Linked DNA regions of Canis lupus familiaris. The protein of the gene in region 7 purifies or fractionates together with the protein of the main gene of each other region. This does not show direct contact. Links are inferred from orthologs where the notes say so. Each region holds a gene or a part of one and is shown on either strand. Other genes may lie near its edges. The genes, in order: EED, MIER1, RUNX1, PHB, GATAD1, E2F4 and HDAC1.

Evidence for each region.
Region 1: the proteins of HDAC1 (region 7) and EED purify together in Homo sapiens (co-immunoprecipitation; 4 studies listed by BioGRID and IntAct, with this or other methods). This does not show direct contact. The link is inferred for Canis lupus familiaris from reciprocal best matches to the Homo sapiens genes HDAC1 and EED.
Region 2: the proteins of HDAC1 (region 7) and MIER1 purify together in Homo sapiens (co-immunoprecipitation; 8 studies listed by BioGRID and IntAct, counting the BioPlex papers as one, with this or other methods). This does not show direct contact. The link is inferred for Canis lupus familiaris from reciprocal best matches to the Homo sapiens genes HDAC1 and MIER1.
Region 3: the proteins of HDAC1 (region 7) and RUNX1 purify together in Homo sapiens (affinity purification with western blotting; 4 studies listed by BioGRID, with this or other methods). This does not show direct contact. The link is inferred for Canis lupus familiaris from reciprocal best matches to the Homo sapiens genes HDAC1 and RUNX1.
Region 4: the proteins of HDAC1 (region 7) and PHB purify together in Homo sapiens (affinity purification with western blotting; 4 studies listed by BioGRID, with this or other methods). This does not show direct contact. The link is inferred for Canis lupus familiaris from reciprocal best matches to the Homo sapiens genes HDAC1 and PHB1.
Region 5: the proteins of HDAC1 (region 7) and GATAD1 purify together in Homo sapiens (affinity purification with mass spectrometry; 5 studies listed by BioGRID and IntAct, counting the BioPlex papers as one, with this or other methods). This does not show direct contact. The link is inferred for Canis lupus familiaris from reciprocal best matches to the Homo sapiens genes HDAC1 and GATAD1.
Region 6: the proteins of HDAC1 (region 7) and E2F4 purify together in Homo sapiens (affinity purification with western blotting; 4 studies listed by BioGRID). This does not show direct contact. The link is inferred for Canis lupus familiaris from reciprocal best matches to the Homo sapiens genes HDAC1 and E2F4.

What each region holds. Positions count from the first base shown.
Region 1 is NC_049242.1:13,356,961-13,360,591, forward strand, and holds the end of EED (polycomb protein EED), read right to left. Parts: intron 2,526-3,631; coding exon 2,367-2,525; intron 1,705-2,366; coding exon 1,631-1,704; intron 1,132-1,630; coding exon 1,005-1,131; 3' UTR 796-1,004; downstream 1-795. UniProt on the Homo sapiens protein: Polycomb group (PcG) protein. Component of the PRC2/EED-EZH2 complex, which methylates 'Lys-9' and 'Lys-27' of histone H3, leading to transcriptional repression of the affected target gene.
Region 2 is NC_049226.1:43,892,923-43,896,908, forward strand, and holds part of MIER1 (mesoderm induction early response protein 1), read right to left. Parts: coding exon 3,861-3,986; intron 3,331-3,860; coding exon 3,198-3,330; intron 1,837-3,197; coding exon 1,772-1,836; intron 1-1,771. UniProt on the Homo sapiens protein: Transcriptional repressor regulating the expression of a number of genes including SP1 target genes. Probably functions through recruitment of HDAC1 a histone deacetylase involved in chromatin silencing.
Region 3 is NC_049252.1:29,932,260-29,936,245, reverse strand, and holds part of RUNX1 (runt-related transcription factor 1), read left to right. Parts: intron 1-3,354; coding exon 3,355-3,608; intron 3,609-3,986.
Region 4 is NC_049230.1:25,486,063-25,490,587, reverse strand, and holds the start of PHB (prohibitin), read left to right. Parts: upstream 1-1,550; 5' UTR 1,551-1,587; intron 1,588-3,225; 5' UTR 3,226-3,252; coding exon 3,253-3,340; intron 3,341-4,525.
Region 5 is NC_049235.1:17,995,945-18,000,603, forward strand, and holds the start of GATAD1 (GATA zinc finger domain-containing protein 1), read left to right. Parts: upstream 1-1,432; 5' UTR 1,433-1,524; coding exon 1,525-1,797; intron 1,798-2,547; coding exon 2,548-2,673; intron 2,674-2,786; coding exon 2,787-2,845; intron 2,846-3,356; coding exon 3,357-3,435; intron 3,436-4,659. UniProt on the Homo sapiens protein: Component of some chromatin complex recruited to chromatin sites methylated 'Lys-4' of histone H3 (H3K4me), with a preference for trimethylated form (H3K4me3).
Region 6 is NC_049226.1:82,760,752-82,765,340, reverse strand, and holds the start of E2F4 (transcription factor E2F4), read left to right. Parts: upstream 1-1,722; 5' UTR 1,723-1,873; coding exon of another isoform or gene 1,874-1,967; intron 1,968-2,191; coding exon of another isoform or gene 2,192-2,338; exon of another isoform or gene 2,339-2,464; intron 2,465-3,135; 5' UTR 3,136-3,324; intron 3,325-3,433; exon of another isoform or gene 3,434-3,479; 5' UTR 3,480-3,749; coding exon 3,750-4,070; intron 4,071-4,495; coding exon 4,496-4,589. Other genes in the region: EXOC3L1 (exocyst complex component 3-like protein), read right to left, coding at 26-638, 1,186-1,405, 1,486-1,661, 1,874-1,967, 2,192-2,338. UniProt on the Homo sapiens protein: Transcription activator that binds DNA cooperatively with DP proteins through the E2 recognition site, 5'-TTTC[CG]CGC-3' found in the promoter region of a number of genes whose products are involved in cell cycle regulation or in DNA replication.
Region 7 is NC_049223.1:68,324,256-68,328,241, reverse strand, and holds part of HDAC1 (histone deacetylase 1), read left to right. Parts: intron 1-1,272; coding exon 1,273-1,385; intron 1,386-3,986. UniProt on the Homo sapiens protein: Histone deacetylase that catalyzes the deacetylation of lysine residues on the N-terminal part of the core histones (H2A, H2B, H3 and H4).

The DNA.
Region 1 (3,631 bases), on a different chromosome or scaffold from region 7:
TTTTAAAATATTTTATTTATTCATGAGAGACAGAGAGAGGCAGAAACAGGCAGAGGGAGAAGCAGGCCCCTGGCAGGGAGCCCGATGCAGGATTCGATCCCGGCACTCCGGGATCAGAACCTGAACAAAAGGTAGATGCTCAAACAGTGAGCCACCCAGGCTTCCCCAGATTTTTAAATATAATTACTATAAAGTTATTATAGAAGAAACACAAAGACTTAGGAAATACAATGTCTGAAATATAATGTCTGATACATAAATGTCTGATATGTAACAAATGAGGTCCCTAAGTGGCTCAGTCAGTTCAGCGTCTGCCTTTGGCTCAGGTCATGATCCCAGGATCCTGGGATCAAGTCCCACTTTAGGATCCTTGCTCAGCAAGGAGTCTGCTTCTCCCTCTACCACTCCCCCTGCTTGTGATCTCTCTCGAATAAATGAATGAATGAATGAAATCTTTATAAAAAAGAAGCAACAATGTATTTAGGGTACATCTGAGTACTATTCCAGCTGCTTCACTTATTTAATCATTTGATCCTTAATAACCCTATGAGGTAGGTATTCTTATCCCTGTTTCACACAAGAAGAAACTGAGGTAGATGTTAAATTACTTAGCTCAGCTCATGTTTGCAGAGCCAAGACTAAAGTCCGCTTAATCCTAGAGCTTACACTTAATCACTACATTATATAGCTTTCTTCAGTTAAAAGGACTACAAAAATGATCATTACAAAAAAGAAAGGGAATACTTTTATTACTTTCAACATTTCTTTTTATCACAATGAAAATAAACACACAGCTTTACAAAAATAAATTTTTATTAAAAGCAGTAGAGTCTGAGCAGAAGACAGTACAAAGAATGTAAACAATGTAAACATCACTACATTCAGCTCAGCCTGATTGAATGCTGAAAGACAACTCTAAATGCTCTATGTGCCCTTACTAGCAAGATACATTAATTCTATTATACACAGAAAACACACTCTAATTTTGATAAGGAAAAAATATTTTATCGAAGTCGGTCCCAGCGCCAAATACTGGCATCATCACAAACAGCTATAAGAATACTGCTATCCCTGCTAAAACTGGTTTGTCGAATAGCAGCACCACATTTATGATGAGTCAGTGTTGTACATCTAGGAAAAAACAAGACAATAGGTTAAAAGCCATTCATAAATATTGTCAGTAGCAAATTAAACCAACGAATAAGAAAACAAACAGATGTTCCAAGTCATATGGAAAGCATTTAAAATATCACTAAGAGCTCAATCTCTAATTTCATAACATTTGGGTATATTTTAAATTAATAAAAAGAAAGGTGTAACTTGTCACCAAAGTACTCATGATAAACAGCCATTATGAGAATAAAAAATATTTTTAAATAACTGAGTCATATAAATGTTAAAAATGATTTAAGAATGATACTTCAAGGGATCCATGGGTGGCTCAATGGTTGAGCGTCCCAGGTTGTGATCCCGGAGTCCTGGGATTGAGTCCCAATCAGGCTCCAAGCACGGAGCCTCCTTCTCCCTCTATGTGTCTCTGCCTCTCTGTGTCTCTCATGAATAAATTAAATATTGGCATAGCGTTTGAGAAAAAGACAGAAATTATCAATAAAAATTTCTAAATACTTACTTAGCTTTATGAGGATCTTCCACTTCTAAATCCCAAACATAAAGTTTGCCAACCTGATTGCCCAATGCAAGCATCTGTATAAACGTATTTTTAAAAACACCAAATTATTAAAATAGGCTATAGAGCATTCAAATATTCCTAAGATATATTCATATTTCATAAAAACCTCAGTTCCAGACTATGGCTATACTCCTGATTATTTCTATTTCTTTGTATCTTATACTTCTGATTCGTAAATGGATAACAGCAACTTATACTTCAGAGGCATCCTGAGCAAATTAGAAGGCAAATTTATGAAGGACTTTACAATTTACATTGTAGCAAAAGCTACAGACAGCTCCTCCAAAGTTTTCTTATAGAAATAAATACCCAGATAATTTGTTACTACAAATTCATAACACCAATCTCTAAAATTTCTCTAAGCTTTTCTACAAAAAAGCTATTTAAAAAGTTAACATTCAATCACCATAACATTAAATCTTAGTAACAGATGTTATGGAAAGTAAGCACCATTGCCAAGATTGACACCTGTCAACTGCATTTATAATACGCACTGCAAATGGTGTGGAGAGCCTACTCTATAAAGATAGAATAAATAACATCAACGGCTAAAGTAATCAATCACTACAAGATATCAAGGTAGATTCTTAGAGGAAACTGAACATGGATGCACAACAGAGAAAAGTGAAATTACAATGGTCTGAAGTAATTTTAAAATGTAGAAATATGTTGCTACCTTTTGCCAGAAATCCATAGAAAACCTCATGTACCAAATGTCACACTGGCTGTAATCGAATCGCCCAAGAATAGTCACATTAGACTCACTGGGTTTAATTTTATCTATATCATCTTCCATTTTGCCAGGTTTCCAGCACACAATGGCATTTTCACAAGACTTTAGAAGACAGAAATGAGAAAAAATTGTTACATATAGAACTGAAATTTAAAACTTAAAACAAAGCCTTCTTTTCTCTATTATCTTTTTAGAATTGACAGTCTTAAGACCTGGTTATCCATCTAGTAGATACAGTGATATACATTTATTTATATTTACAGAGTCAAGGTCCACACTTGAGGATAAGAGGTCATCTTACAACAGAATTTGACAATATTAAAAAGCATTATATTATCTGGAATATCCATTTTGAAGTCAGAATTTCTTTTCCAAACCAAATTCAGCTCTCAATACTCTGGCATCCAGAGACTTGAGTGTTTTATAACATTTGTTATAAAATATAAAATATAAAATTAAAAAATATATATATAAAATTATATGTTATAAAATATAAAATTATAATTTATAAAATTATAAACGATAAAATTATAAAAACTCTATACAAAAATATGCTTTTCAGTATGGCCCCTGCTTAGAGGCCTTAAAAATCATATTATATAGAAGGTAATAAACTCAGTGGTTTAAATCAAGACATTGATATGGGGATACGACTGAAATAGACTAAGTTATACTTTTCTTATTCTGTAACATAGTATCTTTGCTGAAAAAAAACTGCAACACAGTGGGCACTATTCATATTATAGGTCAGTGGTGTGCCAATTAAGGAACATTTGGCAATGTCCCTGGCCTTTAGCAGGTAGAGGCCAGAGATGCTGCTACATCCTACAATCAATATACAGGATGGCCCCTCCCATTAAAAATAAAGATTGTGTAGCCCAGTATTTCAACAGAACCTGGACTGAGAAATTCCTGTTGGTAGAGAGCTTTCCGGAGTTTTACAGGACACAGCCCACACAGCCACATGTTGCAGCTCTGCCCGTTTCACTAACATATGAATGGTTCAAAAGCAGGGCCAAAGGAAGATTAGGGAGGGGACAACACTTCCCCCCATTTTTCTTCTCTTTTTTAGATTATATAAAATCCCAGGGCTATATATCTGATATACAAGTTCTTTACTGTAAAGTACCTTAGACATCACCTACTTTGATGACTTAACTAAATGTACAACTGGAATGACAGCTTGTAGACTTCCATCCAAAGACTCC
Region 2 (3,986 bases), on a different chromosome or scaffold from region 7:
GAGGCTATAGCCTGGACTCAAATTTGATTCAAAGCTGTCTCCTCTACCCCAGCTTCTAGAAAATAGAAAAATTCACTATCTTACAAGCCTTAGATGATGAATCTGAATCTTGACAATTTTTACTATACCAAAATCATATTAATAGTTTAGATCTACTATGGCCTGTTTTATTACGTTATTTTCCTGAGGAAAGGAATATTCCCTTATGTCTCTCTACTCTGGGCTTTTGTTCCTTCATTAAAAATGAAATAAGGGATCCCTGGGTGGCGCAGCGGTTTAGCGCCTGCCTTTGGCCCAGGGCGCGATCCTGGAGACCCGGGATCGAATCCCACATCGGGCTCCCGGTGCATGGAGCCTGCTTCTCCCTCTGCCTGTGTCTCTGCCTCTCTCTCTCTCTCTCTCTCTCTGTGACTATCATAAATAAATAAAAATTAAAAAAAATAAAATAAAATAAAATAAAAATGAAATAATAATTCAACACCTACTCAAATAATCTATTATATATTTTAGACACAAAAAACAATTTAAGTTGAAGATAAAGTTTAAAGGAATAGTTTAAAAGATACAGAAACTTGAATTTATAACAGTTTAAGATGACTTCTAAGGTTGCTAGCTTTTTTCATAATTGCTGCATAGTGTAGGAATCAGGTAAAAGTGAAGAACACTTACCCAATGGGTCACATAAACAGTAACTCTGTGACCCTTGTTTTCGGTCTTCAGCCTCATTTTTCATTCATCATTCACTCAAATTAATTAATACATACTGTACAGGGCTAACCTTCCCTCCCATTCTAACTGACACCTTCTTTTACCATTCTAACACACTGAAAGACAGTCTCTCTCTTCTAAACATCTCCTTGGACCCCCAGAAATGGATCAATTCTGGCAGAAGACTACAATCCTTGGGTAGCCCAGTCCAGTCCAAGTTCATTTGAATACTTCATTCTTCCTAATAGAAACTCTGTAAGTATGAAATGTTCCCTTATTTTAATCAGCAACGATGTCAGCTCTTTTATAAGTCTGCTCCAGGCAAACCAAAAACTATAAACTATCACCACCACAAATAACAACAACAACAAAAAAGCCACAGGAAAGACTCAACAGTGTTAACTAAATAACAAGTACAACAAAGTGCAGAAAGCCCACTCAACATGATGTTCAGAGCTACTCTGCTTCCAAAGAAATGACTATTCATACACTAAATTTAAAATCAGACCTAGGAAAAAGAACAGCAAAAAACAAAACAAAACAATGCAGTTTTATAGAGCAAAATCGAGTAAGCTAGCTTAGTAAGAATGACTTCATTTCTTCTATATAAATGATTTGTTCTAATCAATTCTGCATGACATTTTGACACATTTTCCTAGTACCACTGCTTTGTAACAGCTTAAGATTAATTCTTCTACTCAATTGTATAACTAAGTTGTACAGTCATACACTTTTATAATTAAAAATCTAAATTACTAAAATCTACTTAACAAAACCAAAGCCTCAAATGCTTTCCCAAATATCTAAATTAGCACTAGTTAAAAATTTCAATTTCTATTCTTGGTTTGAGACTGATTTGCTCAAAAAAGTCAAATTCTTTCTATACCATTATTTTATTTTGTAAAAAAATATTTTTCTCACCTTGATGTATTAAGGGGAAATTTGAAACACTTAAATGTCACAAAAGGGCTTACCTCAACAATACCAATATACAGCTAGTAAAATAATACTTGCTTTTTAATATTAATTTACCTAAATGTTGGGAAAATACGGCTCTAACTACCTTTTTCCAGTCTTCTGATGGAATATAATCTTCATCTTCTTCTGATTCTTCTTCTATTTCACTATCTAGATAAAAGAAGATAGTATTAGAAAATAATTATTTATCCTATCCACATCTGTATATTATTTTTATATCTACTATCAAACATTTAAGTATGCCTAAAAGTATCTGCAGAATAGGACTAAGATATTTCTGACCAAATAATACCGTTTTAAACAAAGCAAAATAACCCATAAAAACTTTCTAGGATAATCTTAGAACACTGTATTCTCAGGAAATGATCTTCTACAAAAAAATTAATGGAATACAAAGTTTAAAAGGGTAATATTACATATGCAAGTTAAATCTTCCCATGGAAAAGCTAAGATAAGCAGTATATATAGAGCTTCTGTGCATACATCATAACTGACATACCAGATCAGAAGTATGAAATAAATATTGTTTTAAAAATGCAGTCACTTAGCATCCCACTTTTTTTTTTTTTTAGCATCCCACTTTTAAGCAAACTTTGGCAATTTACCTAAGAGAAAAAGGAAAAATACCAAGTTTTCCCCAAACTTAATATTAACACAATTTCAGTAATCTTTCCTTACACTGATACGCTTTTTAAGTGGATCAATCGTTGATCAAAATTCACAATAAAATATCATTAGCAGCACTACATTCACTGCTAAACTAAATACGTATCAGAAATCATTGACAGGAAGCAGTAGCCATGTTCAATCAATTATTAGATCGCTACATTTCATGAGAGGTTATTGTTCTTCAAATGTTTTTCTTTCTTTTAAAGCACAGAAATCCAAACAAGTTTAAATAACACTAATGGTTGCTTTTCTCTTATCAAAGAGCTGTTATCCATAGTAATGATTCCTGCTTAGAATGAAACACCATGGAGTAGATGAAGCATGCAAATATCCAAGTTATATACATTAAATGTTGTTTCAACTACTGCAGATCTCTGACTAGATCACAACCATAGTAAAATTAGAAGAGTTCTCTGTGTATAACATATTACCACCTCAAGAGTAAGCCAGTTTTTTGAGAACTGGGAGCCACTGATTAGAGAAAGCAATGCTTATGAATATAGCTTAAAAAGGCTAAGAGAAAAGAAAGTAGAAAATGAAAACTGAGGAAAAGACTAGATGAAATAAAAAGATGGTCATGAGACAAATTTAAAGAAATGTTGAGGAAGGAAAAAAGGAACACATTCAAAATCAAGTAGTGTAGTGACACAACAATCTCTGCAATCTACTCATAGACAACAAGGCCCTAACACTGCTAAATGAATAACCCAGAACAAAATACGTTACTGTTCAGCCAGATTTGAGAGTAAAATGAATTCAAACAGATGAATGGAAAAGAAGTGCCATTTTACATCATATATTTAGTAAAAATTATCCAAACATTAGCAACTAATGACACTTACTTGTGTCAAAATATTTACATCGACGTGGGCGGATTATTTCTTGGGCATCTTGAGAAGCAACAGATTGTGAGGGATCATCATTGGAAGACTGAGTTTCATCCTCTTGACCTGATGAGTCCTTTATATTCTCTTCCTGTAGAATAATAAACTTCTTTAAGATGTAAGGAAAATTGTTGCAGAGGAAAAGTTACAGTATTCCAAATAAACTAAATGGCTAAAATAAATACACTAAATGCAGTATGGTATTAGTGGAAAAACTGGTGAAATCTGAATTGCCCGTAGTTTAACTAGTATGGTATCAATTCTTACTTTTCATAAATATACCATGGTTACACGAGATATAAATAAATAGGGAAAACTGGGTGAAGAGTACAGAGAAACTCTATACCATATTTGAATTGCTCTATAAATCTAAAATTATTTCAAAACAAAATTAAAAAATTGAATACAAACTATCCATTAGCTTTTATTACTTAAAAAGCAGTAGTATTTTTTTTAAAGTTGGTATAAATTTATTTAGAAGAGGCATTCAAAAGAAATCTGGAATGACACAGATGAAACTATTATTTTTCAGGAGTAGGTTACAGAGGACTTCCAAAATTAAGAAATTTTTACTTCAACAAAGATAAAGACTACAATCTTAATAAATGTATATATTCTTACTTTATTTTCCCCACTACAGCCACTGTTATCATCATTATCAGCATCTTCATCATCTTCACCTTCTTCTTCCTCTTCCTCCTCCTCCTCATCTTCTTCAGGTAGTCGAATAGTACTATCATAACCATA
Region 3 (3,986 bases), on a different chromosome or scaffold from region 7:
AGGGCCGGCGGAGTCGCGCGCCATCGGGGGCGTTCCCGGGCGCCCGGGGCGGCAGCGAGGACGGCTGCTGCCCCCTGGCGTCCGCCCCGAGCCCGCGGCCCGCAGCGCCTCCCGCGGGGCCGGCGCCAGCCTCCCGGCGGCTCGGAGCGGCCCGTGCGGCCTCTCCGGTCCTGGGGCCAGGGAAGCAGCCCGCGCGCCCGGGAAGGGCCCCCCCCCCCCCCGGCTGGCCCGCCCTGGCCGACGCCTCCGTTAGGCCCCAGAGGCAGCGCCGAGGGAGAATCCGGCGCTTCGGCGCCCCCAGCACCCTAGCCGCGCGTCCGCAGCCGGGAAGGAGGCGGCGGCCGGAGGGGCCCCGCGGGGGGCGGGTGACGGACCCCTGCTCCGGGGAGCTGCAGCGGAGGGTCCCCTGTTGGGGGTGGGGATGAGCGCCCTCCCCCGGGAGACGGGCGGCCCCGCCGCTGGGAGTGGGGCACCGGGTGGGTTCCCCGGGGAGCCAGGGAGCCGCGGGGCGCGGGGGGTGGGGGTGGGGAACGGGCCCTGCGCGCCGGGGCGGGGCCCTCTAAGCTCCGCGAAAATGCCCGCGGCGCCGCGGGGACGGACGCAGGGGAAGTTCCCGCCCGCGCGCAAAGCCAGGCTGGGTGCAGCACCCCGGGCCGCTCCGGCGCGCGGGGGCGGGGAGACGAGCCAGCGCCGTTTCCGGGGAGCCGGAGGTGGGTGCGGGGCTCGGGCGACCTGGGCCCGGCGGTGGGCGCTCGCGCGGCCTGCGCGGGGGCCGCCCCAGCGGATGCTTTCAACTTTCTTCCCCGTCGCTGGCTGTTCGGGGTCGCCTTTCGGATCAGGACCCTCCTCTGCTCCCCGCGAAGCACAGCCCGGCGGAGCGCGGCCGCGGTGCGTAAGGAAGCCGCAGCCCAGACGCGGTGAAAAACACCGATGAAAGCAAACCGACCCGAGAGAGAAAACTAAAAACACAAAACCATGTTGTGGAGACCGAGAACCTTCTGGCCTCGTTAAATGAATCAGCGCCACTTCTCTGCAGCTGCCCCCACCCCCACCCCCATGGCTACGGTGGCGCGCGGAGCCGCTCTCCGGCCCCCTCGCGGCCGAATCCCACCCACGCTGGGGAAGCAGAAGCTCGGCCGTGGGTGGCCGCGCAGGACCCGGGGCCGCCCCGGGTGGGGGGGCGGGGGTGAGCTCCGGCGCCGGGCCCGGGAGCCTCGCGGCGGCCGCTGCATCTCCAGGGCGCTAGGGGCGCCTCCCCTCCGGCTGGGCTCCGGGCACCGCGCGCGGCCCGAGCCCTCGCTGCGCCGGCCGGCGTCCTCTCTCTCCGCGTCCTCGCGGGGCCGCGTGCGCCCCGGGGCGGGGCCTCGGGCGGGGGTGCGTGCGTGGATGCGGGCGCGCGGGGCGAGCGGGGAGGCCGGGCAGCCTGGGGCGCTCCGCGCGGGCGGCGTACAGTAGCGCGCGGCGGCGGCGGCGGCGGGGGCGCGCGGGCCAATTCCAGGAGCCCGCGGCCGCGAGCCGCGCCCTGGCTGATACCGGAAAGGCCCGTGATTGGCCGGCGGCCGCCCCTATGCAAACGAGCTGAGGGAATGGAATTCCTCGGGCCGGGCTTACAGTAAAAGCACGTTCATTTCCAGGCACTCTCATTCATAGAGCCAGCGGGCGCAGGGGCACGGGCGCCCCGAGCCGGACCAGCAGGGCACACGCCGCCCGGCCTCGCGCCCACAGGCACCGCGTCCCGGGGCTCCCGGGGACGCCACCCTTGCTGCTTCTCCTGGACCGCCGTTGGAGCTACGATTTTTTATTTTTTTCATTTTTTATTATTTTTTTCCTTTTTAACCTTTCTCTCTTACTTTTGAATGAACTGGCCTCTTGGCTGGATGTTTCAACTTCTTTCCTGCCGGTGAACTTTTTCCCCCGGTCGTTTCCTTTGACAACTGCGGGAGAACGTGTGCCGCGCGTCGAGGCGAGCCCGTGAAGTTGCGTGTGCGTGGCCCGTGTGCGTGGGAGTGTGACTGCGTGTGTAACTCGAGCCACCCCGTCTGTTCCGACCTGCGCTGCGGAGCCCACGCTCCAGGCCCGCTCCACCTGCTGCGGTTTCGCGGTGATCGTAGGTACAGGCGCGTCCAGGCGTCTAAGCCGAGGGCGCTGGGGCGACGTTGGAGGAAGATCAGCTCGCTACGGCCCAAGTCGGGCTGACTCGCCGAGCCGGTGTAGACAGTGGCTGGCTTCGGAAGAGTGCGTGTCTGCGTGCGTGCGACCCGGCTGCGGCTCAGCTCCCACCAACCACAGGATCAGCCACAAACTTAACCAACATCCCCAAACCCGAGTTCTCAGATGTGGAGAGCTGTACTCTGAGTGTCATCGACTTGGACTTTTATTATTATTATTATTATCATCATCATTTTTTTTAAAGATTAGCTTTTCTTTGAAAAGCTGAGTTTTCTGAACTGAGCGTTTTGCCAGAATTTATTAAGAGAACATGACAAGTATTTCTAGCCCAGCCCTTCTTCAACTACTGAAGCTTATTTTCAAGGCTACTTAAAAAAAAAAAAAAATCAGCAGCGAACATTAATGGATTTCTGTTGTGTTTAAATTCTCTACAGATTGAATTGTAAATATTTTATGAAGTAGAGCATATGTATATATTTATATATACGTGCACATACATTAGTAGCATGACCTTTGGAAGTCGCAGCTCTTGCTTTTGAGGACCGAAGCCGGTTTTGCATGATCAAAGTGGCTCTGTATATGGAAGACACTCGTATATTTTGTGTTGTCTTGGGACTTTAGGCAAAACTCACCTGAAAACAAAAACAAAACAAACAAAAAAACCCTGACAGGCGTTTAACTACTGGAACTTCCAAATTATGTATTGGCTGGCTCGTTTGCTCTGCGTATAAATATTTTAGAAACTGTATGGGAATTTTGCCTCCGGGAACTTTTTTTTTTTTTTTTTAAACAGCCAAAGACTGAAAGTTAAACTCTCAAAGCAAGACTCAGAAGATAGCCTCCCTTGGCATTTGACTTTGGATTCCAGTCGCCCGATTTTTTTTTTTTTTTTTTTTTTTAAAGCATTAGGCGATCGGTTGCTAGGAGCCCTGCCTGGGTCGGACGGAGGCTGCCCTGCAAAATAGAACTTTCCCCCTCCGGGACTGTTAGTGACTTCGTCTCCCGCCCGCCTCCCCCCAGCCCCCCGCCCACCCCCGCCCCCCCTGCAGCAATAAAGGGCCCCTGAACTTATATGTTGGTCTCCCTGGAGCTGCTCGCCGAGGATCCGCGCCCTCGTCGCCGGCTGGTAGGAGCTGTTTGCAGGGTCCTAACTCAATCGGCTTGTTGTGATGCGTATCCCCGTAGATGCCAGCACGAGCCGCCGCTTCACGCCGCCTTCCACCGCGCTGAGCCCGGGCAAGATGAGCGAGGCGCTGCCGCTGGGCGCCCCGGACGCCGGCGCCGCCCTGGCCGGCAAGCTGAGGACCGGCGACCGCAGCATGGTGGAGGTGCTGGCCGACCACCCCGGCGAGCTGGTGCGCACCGACAGCCCCAACTTCCTCTGCTCCGTGCTGCCCACGCACTGGCGCTGCAACAAGACCCTGCCCATCGCTTTCAAGGTACTCGGCCCGGAGCGGGTGGCGGGAGGACCGCGGAGGCCGGGGGGCGATCCGGGAGGCCCGCGGCCAGGCGGGCGGGGCCGGGTCCTCGGAAGGGGCCGGCGCTGCCCCCCGCGGCCCCTGGTCCATCCTCCTGCCCTCGGGACTCGGGGGATGCTCGGTTGCCCTGGCGATCCTGGGGGAGGGGGGGTGTGTGTGCACGGGGACGGGGGATAAAAACATCCGATTGCCCCCCAAAGACGTGCACTGAGGGCCGGTCGCGACCTCCCGGACCTCCCGGACCGAGGTCCTGAGTTTGCACAAAGTAGGCAAAGTTATACCCCAGCTCCCCCCCACCCCCCCACCCCACCCCGGCCTGCCTGCCTGCTGCCATGCTTC
Region 4 (4,525 bases), on a different chromosome or scaffold from region 7:
TTTTCAGATTAAAGGAGATTAAAGAGACATGAGAAATAAATACAGTACCTAATATTAGACTGCATCCTGTATGGGGGTGGGGGTGTGTGGAAATTGCTATAAAGTTCATTATTGGGTCAATGGATAAAATTGGAATGCAGAGGATAGGCTTACTTAAGTTATATAAGAGGATGCCCCTATTCTTAGAAAATACACAGAGATAAGATGGGAAATGAGAGAGAGAGAACAAATTAATGGAGGAAAGATGTTAGGGATTGAAGCCGACAGCCAAGAAAGAATTCTTACTACATCTTTGGATATATGAAAGCACAGGGGCAGGACCTGTGGGCAGAAAGAGCTGTACTGGGGTCCTGAGGAGGGGCCCATTATATGCTTTCAAGTTGGGAGGGGGTTAGGGATAGCGTGCGTCTCTATGGAATTTTGGAAGCAGGGTTTCCAGGATCTTGAGGGGGCTGCCTATTGTTGGGAAAAGTCATCTATTATTGTCTAATAAACCCTTAGTCATGAGACCCTTCAGATGTGTATCGGTGGGTCATATGCTTGGGGAATGATTGCCAGCACATATCTTGGGGAGGGGGGAGGGGGGAGAAAAAGGAAATTTCCAAAGGAATTTTTATATGTTAAAGTAGATTTACAGAGTCCTGGGGGTGGAGCTAAGATTCCCTTTTGCCCTTAGCAAAGTATTAAGATGGAGATAGTAGAGCTCTTAGAGGAACATCACTCTGCCTATTTTAAGGACTTATCAATGGACTGCAGGTAGTAAGGAAATTTAATAATTTCTCTTCTGCTTTTGTTACCCACATCACAAATGATAGAATATATGAAACAAAACGTTAGCCATAGATGAATGTAAGGGATATATGTGTTGTTTTATTCTTGCCACTTTTCCATTTTTTTTTTTAATAGTGTACAGGGAACACAGGACTCTAAGCCCAGCCCCTTTGCTAAATTGGTGCATGACCCTGAATGAATCCCTTCCTCTTTTTCTAGAACCTCTTTTCTAAGGTAGTCTCTGGCTGTGGTAACCAATGTCCCGCGACTCAGGACACTTCCTGACAAGGCTTTGGAAAGGTGGCCCCGTGTGCTTCCCCTCAAGGTCTCTAAGCCCACCAGTTATCTACCTACAACTTTCCCCAGGGTGTCCACCCGTCCTCCTTCGTCAGCCATAAACCTGTCCCAGCCCATCCCTGCCGCCACCATCCGCATGCCCAGCGACTCTTCCGAGGGCCCTAAGGTCCACCTTCCTGCAGGCTCTAGCACAGGTTCAGGACAAGCACGTGCATTTATCCCCAAAAAACTACAGCCCCCAAAAGGCTTTGCGACAACCTTTCGACGTTACCCACCAAAGAGGAAAGGCTTTCCAGCGCGGGCCCGACATTAAATGGCTCTTTGGGAATTGTAGTTCATTTGCGAAGACCAGGGGAACCAGGGTGAGGCCGCAAGCCACCCTTCCCAGAATGCACAGCGCTCTTTCCCACCAATCGGAGGCCCGGATCTTGGAAAGGGGGCGGGGAAGAGAAGGGGCTGCCCAGCGCATGCGCGGTACGTGTGGCTGGGGAATTCATGTGGAGGTCAGAGTGGAAGCAGGTGAGAATGGAGGGAACGCGTTCGGCTGGTGTTCGGGCGCCTCTGCAGCTCCGCTCCGCGTTCCCGTTCGCAATTTGGGCGGGCAGGATGCGTGCGTCGGTCTGCCTCGCGTCGGAGGGGAGGGGGGTGAGCCCGGGACCAGCCAGGAATTGCGTCGTGTAAGGGAGGCGTGCATGGGGGCGGGGTGAGGAATAATCCAGAAGCTGTTGGAAATGGAAAAGCTGAGAGGTCCGAACTGTGTGTCCTGGCCTCAGGTTAGGAACAGTGAAGCACACCGGGAGCGATCAAGAAAGCCTCAGATCTGAGAGGGAGGGAGGGGGGAGGATTTGAATCTAAGTGGACGACGACGCTGGGGCGGGGCATTAATAAAGTTGTGTGCGGGAGTAGATTGAAGTTAGGTCCGTCGTGACCTTAGCCCCGCCCTCTCCCTTGCAGTGCATCTCTGGAGAGCCTTTTTGCCCCATTGGTTCTTCCGGTATCTTGGTCCCAGGATGCTCCCCAGATCCTGCTACCATCATAGCAAATCATTCTTTTTTTTTTTTTTTTTCTTCCCAAGACTTTAATTTCATGAGACACGCACAGAGAGAAGCAGAGACACAGGCAGAGGGAGAAGTAGGCTCTCTGCGGAGAGCCTGGTGCGGGACTGGATCCCAGGACCCCGGGATCATGACTTGAGCCAAAGGTAGACGCTCAACCAGTGAGCCCCCCAGGTGCCCCATGGCAGGTCATTCCTAATACTGGAGCGGAGAAATACTCCTCACAGTATGGTGAGGAGTTAAGTCATACCTACCCTAGACTTAGACCTCCAGGTTCTAGTCCTGGTTCCACTACGAAATGGCTTTGTGATCTTCCGCTTATCTTGTAAGTTTGCTGTGTGCCTCGGTTTCCTCATCTGTAATAACCTGCTTCATAGGGTTTGGTGTGAGGGTTAAATAATTGCCATTAGAAGACTGCCTCCTGGTATTAAAGGTAGCTGCTAGTGTCACTTATGCTGTTGGAATCACCATGTAGCACATTCTTTGAGTTACTTTTCCAAACCAGAATTGCACAGACCCTACCATATACAACCTTCGTCTTGGGGCCCACTTGTCCAGGAAGTGGAAGGGTGGTTTAGTGTGGTGTGAAATTCTCTGTGGGTAGCAAGCCCATACCTCATTCCTGTTATTGAATCAAGTGTCCCCAGACCCCTTTTCCTTAGTGGTAGAAAAAGAAAGAAGAAATGGAAAAATTTTGAAAGCAGAGGAATTAATACTGCACTTTTCCAAGCTGTAGAGTTATTTATTAGATGTCCCTCCATGCGAGATTTAGAGCTTTGAAGAATGGGGAAATAGGGGCACCTAGGTGGCTCTGTTGGTTAAGGGTCTACCTTCAGCTCAGGTCATGATCCCAGAGTCTTGGGTTCGAGCCCTGCATTGGGCTCCCTGCTCAGCGGGGAGCCTGCTTCTCCCTCTCCCTCTGACTGCCTCTCTGCACAATTGTGCACATGGTTCTCTCTCTCTGTCAAATAAATAAATTCTTTTAAAAAAAAAAAAAGTGGGGAAATAAATAGCCAGTTTGAGAAGTGAATATGGTGTCTCAGGGCTTTCTCTTAGAATTTTGAGATCAAGATGTTTTGTTTGTTTTGTTTTTATCCCATAGGTGTGAGTGGGTCCAGCAGAAGGAGATATGGCTGCCAAAGTGTTTGAGTCCATTGGCAAGTTCGGCCTGGCCTTAGCTGTTGCAGGAGGAGTGGTGAATTCTGCCTTGTATAATGGTGAGGTACTGGGGGAAGGGAGTCACTGCCCTTTGTCGGAGGATTTCTATTGGCTTGCACAGCCGATGTGACACTCCTGGTGGCCACCACTGTCTGTGAATATGTTTGTGACCCAAAGGGTCACCTGCTGCCATCCTACACCATATGGTTGCATTGTCACTTGAGCCTCTGTCCTGTAGCCATTGGTTCTCTCACAGCCTCTCTTCCCAAAGAGCTTCCCAGCCTACTTGTTGGTTAAACATTCCCAGTTGCTCTTACAGGTTTGAAGTGATGCTGCAGCACAGTGTCAGGATCTCACTGGTGTGAGGATTAAATAATTGCTGGCTAAATTAAATAGATTAAATAATCTCACTGGCTAGCTGAAATGGAGATCTCACGTATCCCCTTCTGCTTTGTGTGGTCACCTTTGGTGACCTTACCTGAGCAGGAACTTTTACTCTGCTGCATTTGGATCATTCCAGACAAAATACCTGCATTGTCCAGCCTGTTTTTTTTTGTTGTTGTTGTTGTTTTGTTTTGTTTTGTTTTGTTTTAAGATTTAATTTATTCATGAGAAACAGAGAGAGAGAGAGAGAGAGGCAGAGACACAGGTGGAGGGAGAAGCAGGCTCCATGCAGGGAGCCTGATGCAGGACTTGATCCCAGGCCTCCAGGGTCACGCCCTGGGCCGAAGGTGGCACCAAACCCCTGAGCAACCTGGGCTGCCCATTGCCCAGCTTTTAACAGTGAGGCAGGAGCTTAAGCTGACTTTTCTTCTGTGACCTTAGGCAAGCCATTTCCCCCTCTCTAGGTCTCAGCTTCTTTTTTGGTCAAACAGTAAGACTCAACTGGTTTTACCTCTAAGACTGCTTCCAACTCATATTTTCTGACTTTCATGGTTGGGAAGCAGCAGTAGATTGATCTGCCTCATGTGTGACTGTCTGGCAAGAGGAAGATTACTTTTCAGAGTGAAGATATTTGGAGCAACTCTGAAGTCTAATAAGGCAGAGACAGCAGCTGACAAGAAAAGCTTACTTGGTTTAAGTGGCACAGCTCTGTGCTCTGTGCTATCTTTGTAGCCACTCTGCACAACTAGACAGTAGTCACCATCATTAATTTCTTTCTGAATCAAAAGAACAGCTCTGTAATCCCTTAAAACCTGAGAGAAACCAAGCTCTTGGAAAGAGTGGGACCTTCTGCATTTTAG
Region 5 (4,659 bases), on a different chromosome or scaffold from region 7:
GGTGTCAGAGCAGAAGTTGTATCTGCAGCCGGTCCAAATTATGGTTCCTCCGTTAGTCATCAGTCAACAAAATAAGGATAATAACTCTTTTCAAGGTGGTCATATGTACTAAATGTGATTTTGTGACATCATAGGCATTCAATACAGTTTATTTTTCTTTCTCTCGCTGAGGCATGCCACCAGCATATTCACTGAGATGCCTCCTAGTATGCCAAGTCTAGAAAATCCAGCATCCTGAAAACAGGTAGGACACTATGAAGTGAGGCTGAAAAGCAGAGACCCGTTTCTCTGGGGAGGCCTGTTCAGACCAGCGACTTGGATAAGAGGGGGGCTGGCTTGTCATAATGCTCTCATCCTAGGCCAAATCAGTTATTTGGCTTTCCACCCTCATGCTCTCAGCGGCCTACGGCTTAGAGGCTGCAGGACCTGGGATAACATCACCACCCAATAGCTAAGGAACATCTGCTTGACATCATCGTAGGCTTTCTTACTTTTTAAAGATTTTATTTGGGATCCCTGGGTGGCGCAGCGGTTTGGCGCCTGCCTTTGGCCCAGGGCGTGATCCTGGAGACCCGGGATCGAATCCCACATCGGGCTCCCGGTGCATGGAGCCTGCTTCTCCCTCTGCCTGTGTCTCTGCGCCTCTCTCTCTGTGACTATCATAAATAAATAAAAATTAAAAAAAAAAGATTTTATTTATTCATGAGAGACGCACACAGAGAGAGAAGCAGGCTCCATGCAGGGAGCCCGACGTGGGACTCGATGCCATGCCGGGTCTCAGGATCAGGAAGGCGGTGCTAAACCGCGGAGCCCCCCGTCCCCCCGCCCCGGGCTGCCCCATCCTAAATGTTTTAAAATGTGTCTCAACTAATGCATGAACGTCAATAGACACGACACATTCAGCACAAGTATCTGGGGGGTCTACACTGTAATCTTCAACAGCGTACAGGCGTCCTCAGGAGTGCCAGACTTCGCAAATAAAAACACAGCACCCGCAGTTAAATCTGAATTTCAGAGAAACCAAGAATAGTGCATGGGATACACTCATATCAAAATGGCACTCGTGGTTTCTCTGAAATTCAAGTTGAATTCGGCGTTCTGCATCTCCCCGGCCGATCCCAGACCTAAAGCCAAAAAAAAGCCCGCCCGCCCCTCCCGCAGAGGGAGACGGGGGTCCCCGCCACGGTCCGCTTCCGGGGAGCCCGAGGGGGCACTTCCGGTCAGAGGGCCGGGGCCGCGGCGCGCAGGCCCCACCCACCGCCGGAAGCCGCGCGGGCCAGGCCCCGCCCCCGGCCCCGCCTCCCGCCGCTGGGGCCGCCGCGGCCGCCGCCTGTCGCGGAGCGGGTGTCGCCGCCTTCCTGCCTCCAGGGGGCAGCGGCCGCCCTCAGGTCCCTGCGTGGACCGCTCGGCGCCCGCGCCGCTCTTCCTGTCGCTGGGAGTGGCGGGCCGGCCGGCGGGCGGCCCGAGCCGGCGGTCGCCATTCCCGTGTCGCTGCGCCCGCGGGGGCCGCCCGAGCCCGCCACGATGCCACTGGGCCTGAAGCCCACCTGCAGCGTCTGCAAGACCACGTCGTCCTCCATGTGGAAGAAGGGCCCGCAGGGGGAGATCCTCTGCCACCACTGCACGGGCCGGGGCGGCGCGGGCGGCGCGGGCGGCGGCGGCTCGGGGGCGGCCGGCGGGACGGGGGGCGGCGGCGGCGGCGGCGGCGGTGGCGGCGGCGGCGGCTTCGGCGCGGCGACCTTCGCCAGCACCTCGGCCGCCCCTCCGCAGAGCAACGGGGGCGGGGGCGGCAAGCAGGTGAGCTCCTCCGGGCCCCCCCGCGGAGGCCGGCCGGCCGGGGGGCGCGGTCCCTGCGGGGCGCGGTGACCCTGCTGGGGAGGCCCGCCCGCTCCCGCCTGGCGGGGATTGCGACTGTGTAGATTTGGCCCGGGCGGAGCACCTTCTATTATTGTGAGAAATTGAAAGTGTAAAGGAGCAAGAAAATTTAAGACCCTTCAGAAGTCCCCCCACCCCCACCCCCCCCCTCAGTGTAGTGACATCCGCGGTGGTAACCAGACATCTCACACGTGTACACACGTAAATAGGGCCGTGCTGCTGGACTGACTTCCCTGTTAATTTATTATGTTACTAAGTAAGATTATCGTGTCCTTGTTTTAAATGACAGCACGGTAAGTATCCCACTGCAGGAAGGGCCATACCCAACGTGCTCCCTGGGGTCGGAGAGTTCTCCTGGACTATAAACAACAAATAAGTAGTCCTCCCCTTGCCCTGGACTTCCCTCCGACGCCTCCCCCAGGCCCTGTTGTAAGGAGTTGACACCTTTTTGGAGGCTCTGCAGATGCTTGTCTAGGGCGCTCCCTGTTGTAATCAGCCCAGTCCCGGAGGTACTTTTTCCCAGCGGCAAAAGAAAAGGCACATTCTTGGGTGGTTTTGAAAGGTCAGTCAGCGTAAGGGGCTTACTCTGGAGTCCCCGGAAGATGGTTGAATGGGGACAGCAATCTTTCTACGACTTTGATCTTTTTTGTTCTTTAATTGTTTCTGTAACAGAGTAAGCAGGAAATTCACAGAAGGTCTGCTCGGCTGAGAAACACTAAATACAAATCTGCTCCAGCTGCTGAAAAGAAAGTTTCCACCAAAGGAAAAGGGAGAAGACATATTTTTAAATTAAAAAATGTAAGATGATTGTGGACAGTGTCTTTTACAGTAATGGCCTTGTGTGTGTAGTGTGTCCTGTCACTGCCTTCATCTCCCATCTGAACTTTTGCTCTTCCGGGGCCTTTCCGCAGTGTCCTGGGGGAGTGAGTGGTCCACACTTGCTGGAAGGAAGTGAGCTCTGTTGCAGGAGGTATACATACTATTTATAGTTAATAATATCCTATTTTTTTAGCTTTTTTTTTTTTTTTTCCTGCTGGGAAATAAAAGGTTTGAGTCTGAAAAAAAGAAACATAAATCTTGAATGCATTTTATAGGGTCCTCCATGCAAAGGAAGAGGTGGGATTATGGTTCTTGATAAGGCCAGATATATTAGGGAAGAAATTTTTTTTTTGATTCTTTAAAGATCTAAGTAAATAATACTGGAACTCATTCATTTCCACATTTGTTTATTACAGCCCCAGAAAGTTTACGATAATCAATTTGATGAATGTGAATCAAAAATTTTGCTAAACCTTCTGCTGCTATAAAAAAATAGATGGTTGGAAGATGTGTGTGTGGGGCGGGGGAGTAGTTGAAAGTGCCTTTTGTTGCATGGAGTTCTCAGTATTTTTGTAAACACAAGAGGAAAATGGCCATACACAGTGGGCAGTGCATTATAGACGACTTTTTTTAAACCTCAGTACGGTGTTCTTTTCTTTCAGAACAGGAATGCTTCCCTTACCACTAAAGGAAGTTCTGAAGTTGGGCATATTCCCTTGTAAAACACAGAGGGGCCCTGTGGTAAATTATTATTATTATTTTTTAAGATTTTGTTCATTTATTCATGAGACAGAGAGAGTGGCAGAGGGAGAAGCAGGCTCCATGCAGGAGCCCAATGTGGGACTCCAGGATCATGCCCTGGGCCGAAGGCAGACACTAAACCGCTGAGCCACCCAGGCATTCCCCCTGTAGTAAATTCTTGTGCAGATTGCAGATTCTTTTCTTACTGAAAATAGTTGCCCCTAATTTTTTTTTTAAGATTTTATTTATTCATGAGAGACACAGAGAGACCGAGAGAGAGAGAGAGAGAGAGAGAGAGAGAGAGAGAGGCAGAGACACAGGCAGAGGGAGAAGCAGGCTCCATGCAGGGAGCTCAACTTTGGACTCCAGGATCACGCCCTGGCCGAAGGCAGGCTCCAGAACGCTGAGCCTCCCAGGGATCCTCCAGTTGCCCCTAATTTATTTAAGACTTTTCTAATTTAGTTTTCTTAAAATGAGACACCTGCTAACAAAGCATGTTAAGTCAACGTGCGATTGATGATAGTTGCATCACCACATGTTTCCCTCTGTGGTAGAATATGCTCTGCAGTTATTTCAGTAGCTATTTCTCTAGCAACCCCTGTCTTCAAGGATGATACCAAGACACATTTCGGGAGGCCTGGTTTTTGTGTTGTGACATATAAGCATGTACTGCAGCTTAAGAAGGGATTGCTGTAATGGGTGGGTGGTGGTAAATAACTAAGAACTGCCAAGGAAGTTGCATATAGTCTTAGTTCAGCTTCCCTGGAACATTTCCTCTGATGACAAGGGTCCCAACTAGTACCGTAGTTGAGATGGAAAATGTCTTCAAAGAGATACTTTTCCACAGGATGCCTGAGTGGGTCAGCCTTTGCCTCAGGGCCTGATCCTGGAGACCCGGGATCGAGTCCCACATCGGGCTTCCTGTGTGGAGCCTGCTTCTCCCTCTGCCTGTGTCTCTGCCTCTCTCTCTCTCTGTCTCTCATGAATAAATAAATAAAAATTTTTAAAAAGACACTTTTTCCACCTTATGTTAATTTACACATTCTTTTATGACTTCCATTCCGATCATGGCCAAGCCATCAGAGCTGGCATATTGTTTATAACTAGAATGTTAATATGTAATAAAGCTTTGAGAGCCCTTGTAGATCTCAGTGGCATAGTCAGAAGCTTGTACTTTGGTTCTTAGCAATTTTTAAGCCGATGGTAGCAGAAACAGCCACAGAA
Region 6 (4,589 bases), on a different chromosome or scaffold from region 7:
TTCCTGTTGCCCCAAGGGTACTGACCCCTGGTACACATGCAGTGCCCAATGCAGCAAGGTGAAGGCGTCAGAAGCACCTAGCTCAGGCCCTTCCAGGAGCTGCTGCAGACAGCGGCGCAGTCCATGGTGCAGGGTGTGCGTCCACAGCTGAACCACCTTGTAGTGTGGTGGGCAGCAGGGTGCTACTAGTGCTTCAGCTGTGGCCAACTCGGCTGGTAAAGCCACCCGCAGAGCCTCCAGCCACCCCTTCAGGGCCCCGGGCTCGAGCAGAAGAGGTGTCCCAAAGTGGGTTCTCTCCAGGCCCTCCTGTAATGCCTGCAGACAACGCTGCCGCCAGTCCCTGGGGGTCAGCTCCAGGGAGGGTGTGTACCCGGCATCGACTTCCGCTATGCGCACAGCAGCCACCAGCAGGGCTGGGTCCTCCCGTGCCAGCTGCCCTGCGGCCCCCGCAGCCACCTCCACAGCCTGGCCAAGAGCCTCAGCCAGAGGGCCCAGCGCCTCAAAGACTGGCAGCTCCAGGCCCCCCAGAGGTGCCCACGTCTCCTCTTGTAGCTGCTCCAGCTCCCGAAGGCACGCATATGCCTCCAAGAGCTGCTGGGCATCAATCAGGGTCCGTGTGTGGGCCACTGCTGCTGGCACTAGGAAGGGAGAAGATGAAACAGCCCTAAGTTTCAAACTTCCCACCTGTGCAATGGGCACAGCCATGGATACTGAGGCCCCTAGGGCTGGAGTGATGTGTAAAATGCATAATAACCAGGACAGCAGAGCACTGACCAATCTGAAAGGACCCAGAGAAGGGCCCAGAGGCCTACTGGGCCAGATATAAATTCTTGAGTTGATGGAGCAAGAGGAAGTCAGGGATCCTGGAGGCAAGGCAGGGAAGAACTCGTGGACCCTTGCTAGTGGCTATTTACCCATCCTATTAAGGAATCATTTCAATAACTTTGCAACCAGGGCGGTCAGAGCCACTTGACTGGGTCTCAGCCCTGAGTCCTACAACGCATGCTTGACAATCCCAGCATGAGCTGATTTGTATCCAGATTCCTCTGCCATCAGAAACCTGAGTCACTCTCTGGGAGGTCCCTGGGGTGTCCCTCCCATCTAAGGGTGACGCCCTTTGGTCAGTAATGGGCATGTACTGACTGACTGTTGAGGGGCTGAGGCCCAGGGCCCCTGCACACTCACCTGCCCACAGCCGGGGCAGCAGCTGAGACAGGACCTGCAGTTGCTTGTGCTGTGCAACCTGTTCCCGCAGCGGTTTTAGGGTCTGTGTGGTCTCTGCCAGATCCTGAAGCAACCCATGGGCCTGGCCAAGGGCCTCACGGGCTGCCTGCAAGGCCTCAGAAGCCTGGGCCAGCTGCCACACACCAATCTTCACGCCCTCCAGGTAGGACTGCACCACCGACTAAGGAGGGAGGCAGCCTGTGAGGCCTGGCCAGGCCGGCAGCCCACCCCCAGCTCTCCTTTCCCTTGACCAATGCCCACCTTGATGCGCGCTTCCAAGGAGCAGGTACGCTGAACCTCACGGCTGCGGTACTGGCTCAGTCTAGCCAGCTGTTCCGGCCGGTAGAAGATGCCCGAGGCCCATTTGAGTGCTGCTCCTCGGGCCAGCTGCTCCGCCCTCTCCTGCTCTGGCCACTCAGGCCCTGGGCAGGAAGAGCCTGGGCAGCCTCGTCAGTTGGGCAAGGCCGATGGGAAGTGGCCCAAACCTGTTCCCCTTCCTACTTCCTAGCCTGTCCCCCTAGGGCAGTCTGACCCATTCCTCTTGCTGCCCTATAGAGCACCGGCCAGACCTGGCAAGGAGGACCCAACCCCACCAATGCCATCTTTTTGGCCACCATCCCTCCCCTAGTCCACCCGGAAGGGCTCCTACCGGGAGGAATTGAGGGCTGCATTTCATCCTTGGTTGCTGAGTCCATGGCAGTCCTTGGAGGAGCTGGAGATGAGGTAGGAGTCGGGGCAAGAGCCTGGGTTAGAGTGGGCAGAATGGGTGCTCCTGTGAGCTGCAGCCTCGGTCTAGGCCCCTCTGAGAAGGAGGAGGGGGTTTCTTGCCCAGCCCCCTCAGGAAACGGGAGGACTGGGTTTCTCAGTTTTGCCCCTGCAGATGCCAAGTGAGGCAGAGCAGACTCAAGCCCCTGCTGGCCCCAGCTCCAGCTCTGAACTGCAGAGGATGGTTTAGTATGGAACTCACCAGGCTTGACCAGGCATCCAGTTCCTTCTCCTTTGAAAACACTCTTTGGCCTTGAGGATGGCCCTCTCCCCCAGTCCTCAGGGCAAAGCAGGGTATTCTCTTCACTGGCTCACGAGGCCTGGGTGGCTCCAGCCTACACCCCAGCATGCAGCAGAATCCTCCCCAAGGAAGCCTCTGTACCACCTCCCCTGCCCAGGAGCACCCTCCTCCTTCGAAGGCCCCTCCTTCCCCAAGGCCAAATGCCCAGAAAGGAAGGAAGCTGAGTCTCTGGCCCTTTATTCCCAACAGGAAAGTGCATCTGCATTGTGGGATGGGGTGGGGAGGGCTGGGCGCCACTTCCTTGGGGGGAGGGGGTGTAGGAGTCCTGCCCAACCCATCCAGGACCTCTTACGTCCTGTGCTCAGGACACAGACTCATGTGAACTAGAAGGCCCTAATTTGGGGTAGAGAGCAGTGTGTGCAAATATGGGTGCAGACAACATCGCAGTAGGAAAACTGTGTTGATGGCTCCTCAGAGGGAGGGTAGGCACCCCTGCAGAGAACTGAGAGGCTGTTGTGAGGAAGGTGTGTGGTGGGTGATGGTAAGAGAGGGGTAGGAGGGCTCTGAAAGCTGTGTTTGTCTTGAGAGTTACAGGGGGCCATGGAGAGGACCACCAGGTAGTAATAATATAGTGGATGCTGGTTACCACCCAAATCCACCCTGCGGGACCACGCCACTTCTTCCCCTAGCTGTCCGGAACGTAGGTTGCTAAGATGTCACAGCTGAGTCTCTCACTCAAAGTCAGGGCACAAAGGCCTGATAACCTTGTCTGGACATGGACCACCTTGGAAGGGCCCCACCTCGGTTTCAGGGCTCCTAACAGGATGGCCTGAGACCTCTATTGTAACTGCATCACAGTTTAATTCACCTTTCTCCTCAATTTTGCGTGTCTTACTCCCTTACAGATGTGGATCCTCAATAAACTTCCCTGCAGACAGATTCCTGTCTCAAAGTCGGCTTCCCAGAGATCCTGACCTAAAGTAAATGATAATAAATATTGATGGTATCAAACATAACAAAACGGTACTAGCCACACCTAACCCTTTCTACCTGCCAGGAACTGCTCTAAGTGCTTTACTGACATGTGCGCATAGGTAAGCATGTTTGCATTGGTGGGAAGATGGTTACAATTCCATGGTCTCTGGGTACTGCAGGGTGGGGACGAGAGAAAGATGAGGCTGGGATCAGGGAAGGGGAATGGGAGTGGACACAAGTGGGCCCGCTGTACCCAATGCTGGCTGTTTGGCAGGAACTGAAGGACAGCAATGGGGTCAGTTAAACCAAGACACTGGGACAGCTTCCAGGAGCAGGTTGGGGGAAACACATTGCGGTCATCAAGCAGCGTGGTCTCCTCTTCCGCAAAGGGGACAGGCTGGGTATGCCTGGAAGGTTCTAGCGGCTTTCCCTTCTCTACTGCCGGGGCTGCCCCCCTGACTTCCTCCACCTGCCCCTGGACCCTGTCCCCTCTCCCGGGATCCCCGGATTGTCTTCGTCCTCTTCGGCGGTTGGACATTTGCTGATGGTCCCCGAAGTTTTGCTGCCGTGTCCGCAGAGAGGAATTGCGCCGGGTTCCCTGGGAGGGCGCGGAGCGGAAGCGGAAACAGCGGCGCTGGCGCCGGCGGCCGGGTGGCCAGGAACGGAAGCGGAAGTGGCGGCGGCGCCGGCCTGGCCTGGCCTGGCTGAGGGGAGGCGGCGGGCGGGAGCGATGGCGGAGGCCGGGCCGCAGGCGCCGCCGCCCCCGGGCACCCCAAGCCGGCACGAGAAGAGCTTGGGACTTCTCACCACCAAGTTCGTGTCGCTTCTGCAGGAGGCCAAGGACGGCGTGCTTGACCTCAAGCTGGTGCGGCCTGGGCTAAGGGGCGCCCGGGAGGATGGTGGACCAGGCAGGCCCGGACCGGTAGTGGGAACCCCTGGGGCGGCCCCGCTGAGCCCTCGGAGGGCAAAGCGCCATCCGTGTGCTTTCTCACAGGCGGGAGGCCAGGAGCGGTTTCATTCATTCAGCCGGGGCCATTGGGCGTCCGCTCTGTGCCAGGCTCTGGGCTGCAGGCGGTGGTCCTCGTGGCCCTCCTCGGCTGGTGTGGGGACATCAGTTCAGACGGTGCCGGGCCTCCTCTGCCCCGCGGTCCCGAGCTGCTGCAGTGCCTGGGAGGGGGATTGGGACTCGGGCCACCCCTTTTCCAGAACCCTTCCAGACTAGGTCTCAAGGTAGCTGGGGGAACACCTGAGAGTGGGCCTGAGTATCCTGCACTCTGTTCTGTCTGCCAGGCAGCTGACACCCTTGCTGTGCGCCAGAAGCGGCGGATTTACGACATTACCAACGTCCTGGAAGGTATCGGGCTGATCGAGAAAAAATCCAAGA
Region 7 (3,986 bases):
AATAAAATTTTATTTACAAAAAAACAGGCAGCTAGTTGTATTTGGCCCAAGGGCCATAGTTTGCCTTTTCTGTTTAGAGTAGAGAGCTGGGAGAGGGAGAGAGCAGGAGAGGGAGTGTTGTGAGTTGAATGCCAGGCTAGTGAAGTTGTTCTTTATCCTGTAGAAGATGGGGAGTCATTAGGGGTTTTTGAGCAGGGGAATGGTGTTATTAAAGCTGTGTGTTAGAAAAATAACTGGTCAGTGTGGCAGATAGTTTTGAGTTGAAGACAGAGGAACCAATTAGAAGTCTATTGCTATAGAGGAAGCTAGAGATGATAAGAGTTTAGTTTTCTTATCTATACAATAGGAATAATACTCCTGTTTTACCAGGTTCTTGTGAGGATCCATTAATTTTTTTTTAAGATTTTATTTATTTATTCATAGACACAGAGAGAGAGAGGCAAAGACACAGGCAGAGGGAGAAGCAGGCTCCGTGCAGGGAGCCTGATGTGGGACTCGATCCTGGGTCTCCAGGATCACACCCCAGGCTGCAGGCTGCGCCAAACCGCTACGCCACCAGGGCTGCCCCTGAGGATCCATTAAGAAAGTAAATGTAAATGTGCTTTAACCCCATAAAGTGTTTTAATATGAAAGAGGTGAACTGTGACTTATAATAATTCTGAATAGTAATGGTTATTTTTCTGTTGTGGGAGTGAATTCTTTGCAGATACGGTGAGGTGAATCACCTTGTTGCCTGCTATTCTCCAGTAGCTTTGGAATGAACCGTTTTTACACTGTGTAGTGCCTGTCGGCTAGGCTTATTTTTTTTTTTAATTTTTTAAATTTTATTTATTTATGATAGGCACACAGTGAGAGAGAGAGGCAGAGACACAGGCAGAGGGAGAAGCAGGCTCCATGCACCGGGAGCCCGACGTGGGACTCGATCCCGGGTCTCCAGGATCGCGCCCTGGGCCAAAGTCAGGCGCTAAACCGCTGTGCCACCCAGGGATCCCATCGGCTAGGCTTATATCTTTAAGTGCTGGACTCACCAGAGTCCCCTGCTTTTTTTGTTTGTTGTTCCTGTTTTGTTTTGTTTTATTTTTATTTTGTTTTTTTTTGTTTGTTTGTTTTATTTTTATTTTGGAGTTAACTCTTCCTCAAGGTGGGTGAGAATCTTGGGGACTAGAACGAAAGAGAAAGAATATGATTAGGAGATGGTTATAAAAATTCCTGGATTCTCCTGGGAGTGTATGTCTAACTGTGTCACTGAAACTGTCACTCTTTTTTCTTCAGGGGATGTTGGAAATTACTATTATGGACAAGGCCACCCAATGAAGCCTCACCGAATCCGTATGACTCACAATTTGCTACTTAACTATGGTCTCTACCGAAAAATGGAAATCTATGTGAGTTACTGGGACCCCCACCACTCCCTAACCCCATCAGCTCTAGTTATGTTATCTCATTTTCTCAACTACTCATTCATCAGATGTGTCGAATGGGCTGTTATGTGGCAGACATTGAAAGAGATTTCTGTTTTTAAAGGGTTCGCTCCAGTGCTGGAGACTGACAGGTACACAAATAAATTGTACTACAGTCTGAGGGCGTACAATTAAATAATGTACAAGATACAGAGATAATGAAAAGTGAAGGAGGAAGGGAAGCCTTGGAATGTTTCCTGGAGGTACTATCTGAGCAGAATTTTAAATATTGAATAGAATTTAGCCAGGAGTTCAGGAGGGGACTGACATTCTAGACCAAGGGAAGAGTGTAAACAAAAAGGCAAAGAGGTAAGAACAGTATGGTGTGTTTGGGGAAACTATGAGTAGTTTCTAGGTAGTGCTATAGTGTAAAGGTCTCACGGGTGTGAGTAAAGGGACCTACAGTTGGAGAGGTCAGCAAGGATTGGATATGCTGTACTATGTAATAAGCAACTCTGATGGGCCAGGATTTAAAAAAAAAAATCCAATGCCTAAAAAAAGAGCAATTGGGACTATGTTGAGCTAGACAAGTCCCTAATTACTAGAGAGCATAGACTCTAAACTGCTTGACTCAGTTCCGTCTGATTTTTGCCCACCTACCGGTTTTTATTTTATTTATTTATTTTTTAAAGATTGTATTTATTTGAGAGAGAGAGCACAAGCATATGGAGAGGGATGCCTCCACTGGTGGTGCCCCCACCATCAGTTTTTAAAGAGAAGTTAGGGATCCATATTATTCTGTAATGTGGGGCCTGATCTCAAGACCTTGAGATCGTATTCTGAGCTGAACCTGAGAGTTGGACACTTAATTGATTATGCCACCCAGGTGCTCCAAAGATTTTTTTTTTTTAAAGTAATCTCTACACCCAGTGTGGGGCTGAAACTTCAACCCCAAGATGGTGAGTTGCATGCTCTACTGACTGAGCCAGCCAGGCATCCCCAAGTAATGGATTTTAAATCAAAGAGAGATAAAACAGGTATGCATTTTATTTTTATTTATTCTTAAAATATTTTATTTATTTATTGGGGGGGTGCAGCTGGGTGGCTCAGTCGGTTAAGTGTCTGCCTTCGGCTCAGGTCATGATCTCAGGATTCTGGGATCGAGCCCCACATGAGGCTTCCTGCTTCTCCCTCTGTGCCTACTTGTGCTTTCTCTCTCTGTCAAATACATTAAAAAAATGAATTAAATTTTAGAAAATAGAGTTAGTGGGTGGGAGGGAAAGGGAGAGAGAATTTGAAGCAGACCGCATTGAGTGCAGAGCCACACATGGGGCTTGATCCTGCAACCGTGAGACTATGACTTGAGCTGAAACCAAGAGTTGGATGCTTAAACCGACTGAGCCACCCAGGTGCTAAGTAATCTGCCCGGTATGGGGTGAAAACTCTCAGCCTCGAGATCAAGAGTCACATGTTCCACCAACTGAGCCAGTCAGGAGCCTCCAGGCATGCATTTTAGTAGGGAAGCCAGTTAGGCTGTTGCAAAGGTCCAAATGAGAAAATAAAGAAGGGCTGGGAGCCTATGTTGCCTTATGGTTAGAGCCTAAGAGTCTGTGGTTAAAGTCTGTGCTGGCAGCTTAAGTAACCTAGCAACAGCAGTATCCTTCCTCACCATTCCAGAGACTGAGAGGAGATGAGTCTTCTGTCTCAGATGGCCCTGTTATGTCCCTAGAGCCACTGGAGGCAGCTGGGGAAGCAAGGAGGGAAGGTAGACAGAGGAGCAGGCAGATGTGGGACCAGAGACCTTTGTCAGGTGTGAAAGGCATCTGAGAATGAAAAACATAAAAGGTAGCAGACAGAGGTTTTGAGGGACTCTAGGGAGTAGACTAGCATTTAGATAAAAAGAGGATACCTGAATGTGGAATAGCGAGCGCCGAGACCTTCCAGAGTTCCCTCTTATACATCTATACCTTGCTAATCTGGCTCTAGCTTGCCTCCTTTTCTGTCACTCCCCTCTCAGAACCCTCAGATCAGATTCTGCCTCTTTCTACCCCATCCTGACTGGGAGGATTACTCTGCCCAGTCATATTTTACTCATCTTCAAAAGTTACCTCAAGCCCTCTTTCTCTCTTTCATTCAGTATATATATATATTTATGATAGTCACACACAGAGAGAGAGAGAGAGAGAGAGGCAGAGACACAGGCAGAGGGAGAAGCAGGCTCCATGCACCGGGAGCCCGACGTGGGACTCGATCCCGGGTCTCCAGGATCGCGCTCTGGGCCAAAGGCAGGCGCTAAACCACTGCGCCACCCAGGGATCCCCTCATTCAGTATATTTTTGTTGAATACTTGTCATATTCCAGGAACTATATTAAACTCCATGAGTGATACTGAAGTATTAAAAAATGGATCCTATCTTCAAGTAAGGAAAAATAAATGAACATTTATTGAAGATTGCTTGGGTGGTAGGCCAGGGCTACCTGTTATTTTATATAATCCTTATAGCACCTTTAATTTATAGCTGAAGAAACAAGGTCAGAGAAGATGATTGACATGAACCTAAGAACCAACCCATATCTTTTTGGTTC